Oryzias latipes: one gene and its partner. The protein of the gene in region 1 binds, or shares a complex with, the protein of each later gene. Links are inferred from orthologs where the notes say so. Each region holds a gene or a part of one and is shown on either strand. Other genes may lie near its edges.

Evidence for each region. Proteins that work in one complex are often made in the same cells at the same time.
Region 2: the proteins of lck (region 1) and uncharacterized protein LOC100125537 are in contact, whole or in part, in an NMR structure (PDB 1Q69), measured with the Homo sapiens proteins. The link is inferred for Oryzias latipes from reciprocal best matches to the Homo sapiens genes LCK and CD8A. Residues at the interface, in NP_001036236.1 of Homo sapiens: Cys20, Asn22, Cys23, Tyr25, Pro26, Ile27, Val28; in NP_001139345.1 of Homo sapiens: Arg212, Arg213, Val214, Cys215, Lys216, Cys217.

Annotation. Positions count from the first base shown.
Region 1 is NC_019880.2:16,845,572-16,849,525, reverse strand, and holds part of lck (tyrosine-protein kinase Lck), read left to right. Parts: intron 1-214; coding exon 215-364; intron 365-449; coding exon 450-602; intron 603-3,781; coding exon 3,782-3,954. UniProt on the Homo sapiens protein: Non-receptor tyrosine-protein kinase that plays an essential role in the selection and maturation of developing T-cells in the thymus and in the function of mature T-cells. Plays a key role in T-cell antigen receptor (TCR)-linked signal transduction pathways.
Region 2 is NC_019863.2:17,111,502-17,115,646, reverse strand, and holds uncharacterized protein LOC100125537, read right to left. Parts: upstream 2,801-4,145; 5' UTR 2,619-2,800; coding exon 2,570-2,618; intron 2,473-2,569; coding exon 2,146-2,472; intron 2,073-2,145; coding exon 1,959-2,072; intron 1,875-1,958; coding exon 1,767-1,874; intron 1,678-1,766; coding exon 1,638-1,677; intron 1,141-1,637; coding exon 1,092-1,140; 3' UTR 318-1,091; downstream 1-317. UniProt on the Homo sapiens protein: Integral membrane glycoprotein that plays an essential role in the immune response and serves multiple functions in responses against both external and internal offenses. In T-cells, functions primarily as a coreceptor for MHC class I molecule:peptide complex.

The DNA.
Region 1 (3,954 bases):
AAATTTGCATTTTATATTTAATTAAGACACAAAAACACCAATAAAACAGTCACACAAAACAGCACGAATAATTAAGTAAAGGTCAACTGTGCTTTACTGCGATTTGATTTTTTTTAACTGAACCGAAAAAAAGGAAACCTTTGTAATATGCAAAAGTCTGTTCATTTGTAAAGATTTCCTGCGTTCTTCATCTAACCTCTGTGCTCCTTACCAGGGTCATACTCATTATCAATTCGAGATCTGGACCACAACGCGGGTGAAGGGGTCAAGCACTACAGGATCCGTAACCTGGACAGCGGTGGCTTCTACATCACAGCCAAAATCTCCTTCAACTCGCTGAAGGAGCTTGTGCAGCATTACACACGTGAGTGCAGCCTCTTCAAGAGGGAGTTCTGGAAATGTATTTAGGTGGGAACTGTTTAAATCACGACTTTCTGTTTGTGATGCAGGGGAGGCAGATGGGCTGTGCTCGACTCTGGGGAAACCATGTCAGTCAAGGGCGCCGCAGAAGCCGTGGTGGCACGACGAGTGGGAGATTCCCAGAGAGTCGCTCAAGCTGCTGCGCCGGCTTGGAGCTGGGCAGTTTGGAGAAGTTTGGATGGGTGAGCCTTTTCCCAATAAACAAGCTTCATTTTTTAGCTCATTTTTCTGTATGAGGTTGGAATGATTCATGTTCTAATCCACAGTCAAAAAGATGGTTTCATAAAACAAGATGTAACAATTGTACAACAATTTCACACAGCCTGGCTAAAAAACATCCAATTTTTTACTGAAGTTTTTGAACATTTTGCAGCTACAGTTACTCCAAATTAGCTGACTTTAAGCAATTATGGCTTCATTTATACCAGGGGTTTGCAACCCGAGGCTCCAGAGTCACATGTGGCTCCTTCAACCCTCCATCTTGAATAAATAATTATTTTTTGGGGGGTGATATATGTTAAGATTCTTAAACTAAGGACATCTTATATCAGTCAAATTAACTGTTTTTAAAAGCAATGTTAATATTTAGTGACCCCTTGATCCCGAAAGGGACAAAGCTGGTTTAGAGGGTTAATAAAATTAGAGGCCTTGTGTGCTTTACTAGTCTTCCAAAATGCAGACGTCAGATAACTAAGCAAAGTGATGGTTAAAGGTTTTATCGATGGTCAGAGCTTTTTGTTATTAGGATTAGCTTAAAGCACACATTCTTATCCTCTGTGGTACATTAGTGTCGTCTTGCTGATTAGAGGCAAAGTTCTTAAAAGTGTATAATTGCAAGTAAATCTGTTGCAGGAGGATCTTATATGAGACAAGGTGGGTTTTATTTTACAGAATTTGTATCAAAAGTAAAATAAGTTAAAGTTGTTAACTTTGGAAAAGGTTAACACTGTTATAATTTAGGTATTACCAATTTATAAAAGCGTCAATGTATAAATGAACAGCTTAATAGTTACACACACTTAAATAAAGTGTATTTTTCTGAACAGTAAGGTGGGACTCTTGGTTTGATCTGTAAGAAACTGGACCAAATGGCTCTTTCAGCATTAAAAGTTGCAGACCCCTGATCCATTCAAACAAAAGAGTTGGCTCTTAGTCCCATCAAAGAATCAGAAATCAGACAAAAAAGAGAAATTCAACAGAAATTTAAAAAGTTGTCCTTCACTGTTAGCATTTTTGACTCTGCAGGCCTCCGTTAAGATAATGAAATCTGGCCAACTTAAAGACTAAAAAAATAGCAAAATCACAGTACTACTAACTGACCAATGATATACCCAGTAGTACTGCTTCTGAGAACAGTCCTCCACATAAAAGAAATCCTCAAATTGTTGCAGAATTTCATTTTTGGTGCAAACTAAACACATCCGCCATAACACTTCACACCTCGCATCAAGTGTGGAGGGCAAAGTATGGTTGTTTTGTAGCATTTCAGAAGCAGTCAGGATATCATCTTTGTTTTTTATTATGTGAAATATTAAAAGCACTAAAGGAGGCGTTGTAATGCATGCAGTGTTGACCAGTGTTTTGCATGAAATAGTCCAAATATGAGGAAAATATCAGCATACAAAGAATCCTTTGTCACTGTAAGATTCTTGGTGCAGATAAGAAGATGGATTTGCATTGAAGATAAAACGTCTTCCTTCATTGACACGCTTCACACGGCCCATGAAGAGTGTCAATGAAGCTGGTGCTTCATACAAAGGAAAATTAGAAGTACCTTCAGATGATTTGATGCAAGAGGTTCAGATATTTGTGCAGCACATACTTTAGTCAGTCACAAAACAAAAGCGTTGTGTTATTGTTTCTGATGAGATGATATGTTCAATTTTTCCCATAAGCAACACCTGGGCAGATCATTTCTAACGACACTCATGTTGAGCGCACAAATCTGTGCTCAATAATCATAAAAAATGTAGTCAAAATAAAAAGTATCAATCTAAAATTGATGCTTGATAATATTATTATTGCTTCTGTTTTTATCATCATCCCAAAACTCCATATTTACATCAGTTTACAGTTTACAGTTTTACAGTCATTCAGTTTGATTTGGCTGAAAATCTTCAGTTGTGCCCCCAGATGTTGAGCAATTAAAAGCTATCAAAGAATATTTCATTTGCTCAACATCTGCAAACAAAATCTGCTCCTAATTATAATAGCTTTTATGAAAAGTTAGAACACATATTTTTTTAAATTAATTTAATATGTCTACTAAGAAATTGTAGTCCATAATGGTTAAAAAAAAGCAGATTCTTGATTTTGAACTAAAGTTTAATTCACAAATGGATGTGGGGACTACATGTTGACTATTCTTGTTTTCCTTTTTATAAACTTCAAACCTTTATTTTAATATTCTGTTTTATATTCTGCTGAATTTGCTTCATTCAATTTTTACCTCGTAAACTTACTTGTCCACTGAGAGATGTGAATTTAATACGTTCAAAGTTCATTTAAATTATTGTTTTCTTTTGTTTTTTGCCATTTTTGAGGGCGGAAACTTTGAAGCAGTACAGCAGACACTGTTCACACTGTCTTTCACTATGCAACATAGCTTAAAAAGTCACTGCATTGTTTTTCAATTTTTGGAAAATGAGTTCAAATTGTTATTACACATTTATATATAATAATTTAGTTAAATTAAGACGCTATTACTTTGAAGTCCCCTAATTTTGCTGCTTCCAACACTTGCAGTAAACAGTTTTATGAAGAGTATTGCCCTAAAAACATGTTTGAAACAATTTATTCAAGTTCAATGTATAAATTTGAGGGACTTCTTGTCTTTAGATTGAACAGCCAAGCGGGTTTCCTTCAATCAAAAGTCCCTGCTTGTAAAAAATGTGTGACACCTTTAGATTACCTGATTAAATTGAAAAGGTTTGGCTAGAGTCAAGTGTCAAAATCGTGTAACATGAGGTAGAATTAGCTTATGTTTTACACAAATATTAGATATAAAGGTATAAAAACGAAAACTCATGAAAATTAGAAATGTGAAAGTATAACATGAGAACTGCTTCCAGGGCAAATAGTGTCAACAGTCTGGAACTGAATATAAACTGTCCACGATACATTGAATAACCTTTATAGACATTCTTAGCTTGCATTCAAATATAATAAAAAGGTGAGAGACAGGGTGTTAAAATGAACAAACACTGTGGTCACTAATGTGTCTATCTAGGATTCAAACCCTTTGGCCCTTAAATATTGATTTGTTTTTTCAACCAAAGCTTTAATTAGACACCAATTTAACTATATGTAGATAAAGATTTAAACTGATTTTTCTTTTTAATAACTGGATTTTCTCTTTCAGGTCTCTATAATAATGACAGTAAAGTTGCAATTAAAAACCTGAAGATGGGCACGATGTCAGTGGAAGCTTTCCTCGCTGAGGCCAACATGATGAAGAACTTGCAGCATCCGCGGCTTGTCCGACTCTTTGCCGTGGTTACTGAGGAGCCCATCTATATTGTTACGGAATACATG
Region 2 (4,145 bases), on another chromosome or scaffold:
ATTTCGTGTGGAGGATATCCGGGATTCGTTCTCCTGCTGTCGAAAGAAAAACATCTGTCCAAGAAAGGGTCTGTTGTATCTGTGAAGCCTTACAGAGAAACACTCAGCAAGTGCACTTTGTAAAATCAAGATTTCTTTTACAGGCATTGTAAACTGCCTCTGTTTACAGTTTTGCAGAACACAACACTGTAAAATCTGCAGGTTTATTTGTGTAATTAATATTAAGAGACACTTTAGTGGAAAAACATACAAACTGTAAGCTTCAAGATAATTGGCAAATCTTTAAGGTGCAAGGGAAATGTAAGTGTTTGTGTGTTAAAATAAGAATAAAAAAAAATTGTTCTTCTTGTACCGATGCGTGGTTTCCCACTCGGCTTACGGTTGAAGCAACCCACTTCCTTTTGACAAATGTTTAAACAAATGTCTGTTTATCAAATACAGTTTTGTTCCAAAAACCTTATTGTGACTGATGGGTAAGCAACAGATTGTTATTATATGTGCAAAAGATACAAACTAATAAAGGACATCACAACTCACTACATCAGAAAACATCTCGAGTGAATTATCTTTTGTATTTATCTCTTTATTTAAAAACTGTTTTTGAAACGGCAAAACAAAGAAAATATGTACACATGTAAAATTTCTAAATGGGCATTATAACTTTAAAAAAAATTTAAAAAGGACTTTCCATCTTTAGAAAGCATCATACAGTACATTTAGAAATAGTTTTGGATGTGAGAAAAGGTTTACGCACAAGCAGTAAAAATTATTTAAAAATGTAAAAATTGTGAACGGACAGGTTTAAAAAAATGGTATTTACAGTATGAATTAATCTAAAAACTGTTTATTATTTTTGGTTTTGTGTAATGATTGCATCATCAATTTCAAAGCAAAAGAGCTGAAAAAAGCAAATGTCAATAGGTTTTGCAACACAGTGTTATTCGCCATCAAACTCAAGAGAAAAAAAGGACAAAAATGCTTTTGCCACAATGTAAATTACATTTTCTAAGATTAAGATTAATGTCAATAAAATTCACTTTTATTTTTAAAGTTCAAAAGATGGGTTCAGCAGTAAAATGGCAACTCTTCAATCAGATGCGTGCGTTGGTCATTTGCTTTTCAGGAGCCAAAACCCTTGGCCTGCAAATTTTTTTTAAAACAAACAGAAAAAAAGGAACAACATTTATTATTCTAATCTGGAATTTTTAAGAAATGTAGATGTAAAAAAGAAACAACACACACACAGAGTGACAGCTTTATATTTTAAGCATTTTCTTGAAAATTTAAATGTATTTTGTGGTTTCAAAAGCTACACATTACATTTTTCTTTTTAAAAAAAGGAAAAGTATCATTTTAAGATTTAACCATTGTGACGAATGGTTTGGTAGAGAAAAGTGTAGCAGTTGTGTTTTTTTTAAAGTTCAATGCAGAAAAAATGTATAAAGTAAAAATATTAATGAAAATATATTTTGTTTACATTGGAATAATACAATTTAAATGTATTTGATGTGATTTTAACATTTAAGATTTAGCCTAAATTAATAAGGCAACCTTTAGAAAAGTTATTTGCCGCTTTTAGTCATTTTACAACATAAAAAAGGAATTATAATGTAATTTAGTTAAAAAAAACCTCTTACTTTCTCTTGTAATGGTGTGGGCATCTTCGTGTCCTCAACCCTGTGGAGAAAAAAATTATTATAAATGTCACATATAAGATTGTTTGAAACGTTCAAGTGTGTGAAGAATGTTGTGGTTTCTGAACGTACGATTGCAGTACAGCGTGATGATGATGAGAAGCAGAAGAAGAAGGCCACAGCCTCCGGCTAGAGAGCCCAGTATAAGTGGATCACAAGGCAAGAGTGGTTTTGTTTTCTCTGCAAAAAGAAATAAAAATATGTATTTTCTGTCTGTCTTTTTCCTGAGTATTATTAGTAAAAAATGGTGATGAATCCTGACACCTGCAGCCGGCATGTGCGAGCAGGCGCAGCTCCTGGTGGATGCACGTGTGGAGACAGTTGTTGGTGGATGGGTAAAGATCATCGACGGAGCTTTTGTTGTTTCCCGCTTTTTCTCTTTACAAAAACAGTACATGGTTATTTCGTTTCGCAAAAACCTTAAAATCCACTTTGTGGAACCGAAAATTACCTCCATGCACGCGCTCAATTTCTCCAAATTGTAGCATGTTTCCTTTAACAAGAGCGGCGCAGACGTATGCGCCACTGTCGCGCGAAGCGCTGAAGGACTTCAGAGTCAGAATAAAGTATGTATCCTTCTTCTCGTGACTGAAAAGGTTTTTGAATTGCTGTTCAAACTTCTTTTCCATGCCAGTGTTGCTGAAGGATGCGATGAACTCCATGTTGGAGCCATCCAGCAGTCGGAACCAGAAGACCACGGTCCCCTCTGGAATCTGACACTTAAAATGTACAGTGGATCCTTCTTGCAATGTCCTATCAGCACATGTGGTGACTTCTACTTGGAAAGAACAGACATTAGTCCAAGTTTCAAAGACAGGCAGGTAGATATGACCATACAGATACCCAAATAAAAAAAAAGTTTTGGTCTGGCTTACGCAGGTAGAACACAAGAGTCAGCAGGATCTTCATCCATCTTTGGTCCATAATTGAATCTTCCAGACAACAACAGCTGTGCAGTCCGTCTCCGTGGTGTTTTTTGGATGCTGCCAGGAGATCATTCGATGTGAAATGAAGCCACGCCCCAGCTGCGAAGCCTCTTCTCTGTTGCGTCAAATGGGATCATTGCACCGGAGCGTTTGCAGAGCCTCCTGCAACGCACTCGTGGTCTGCGCCTCGTTTTGAAGTGGAGCCCACCCGAGCTGCAGCGCTGCCTCTGGTTTCAGGCGAGGCAACGCGATTTCATCCTGAAGTTATTGGCACACAAAGGTGGCAGCCAGTACGCGCGCTGACAGTGATGGGAAACGAGTGCGCGTGGAAAAAGGAGCTGTTAGTGCTCCTCTGAAGACGTTTCCAGAAGCTTTGCGCTGATGGTTGAACTTTAACCTGACCCATGCTGTCATCCATTTCTACAAATCTAATGATTGACATGGTTTAACCCTTGTGCTATCCTAGGCACTTTAACATTGGGAGTGGGGTCATCTAGACCCACTAGACAGTGCGCTGAACTTTTTTCTTCAATGATTTGTGATCTTCACTGTCCAAATCCTCTCCACCTTTATCCACCTTTGTCATGGTAGGGAGAACACGTCAATGGTCATCTTGACCCCATAGGATAGTACAAGGGATAATTATTTTACGCATAAGACAATTAATTTTCCAATAAAGGGGGCTATTAGTTTTTAGCCTTAACATATCCCAAACAGATATTTTTTGTTATGAATAAAAAAATACTTCATATCTGAAAATGTATTTTACAAAATGCTTTTAGAAAAGTGGTCGTATGTCTTGGTCCTATATGTGAAAAGTCTCTCTTTGAATTGACAAACGGACTCTGAATCTGTCTTTCTCCATCTCAGTATGTTCTTTTTTGGAGCCAGTTTCATACCATCGTAATTGCTTTGAAATGGAACTGCAGTTGTGTTATAGAGAAAACAGGGGTCTGCAACCTTTAACCCTATAAATAAAAGCCATGTGGTCCAGTTTCTTACAGACCAAAACCCACTGAGAGCCACAAAGTCCCACTTTACTGTTCAGAAAAATACAATTTATTTATATTTTTGTGGCCATCAAGCCATTTAAAAAAATAGCTTTTAAAAATTTACAATGAACTGTGTAATTTCACTTTGACAACTGCACAGGTTTCTTTCAAAATAAAATGCATCCTGTGTCAAAAAGGATCCTACTGCAGTAGATTTGCAATTATACTTTAAGAACTTTGTCTCTGACACCAACTACACATAAAATAGGACATTTGCTTATGCTAATGGTAAACCACTCTAATAAATCAAACTTCTTACCATCATTGCTTAGTTATCTGACATGTTTGCATTTTGGAGGAAAGTGCTCAATTCCTCTTGATTTAGTGTGATGTTAATAGCGTTAAAAAACAAAAAAGATCCCCTCTAGTAAGATCACCTAGAAGTCTAAAAATAAAATGAGAAAATTTAATTGTCAAATTTATTATTAATTGAAATTGTTGGCGGTTTTCTTCAAAGCCAAAGAGCAACAATG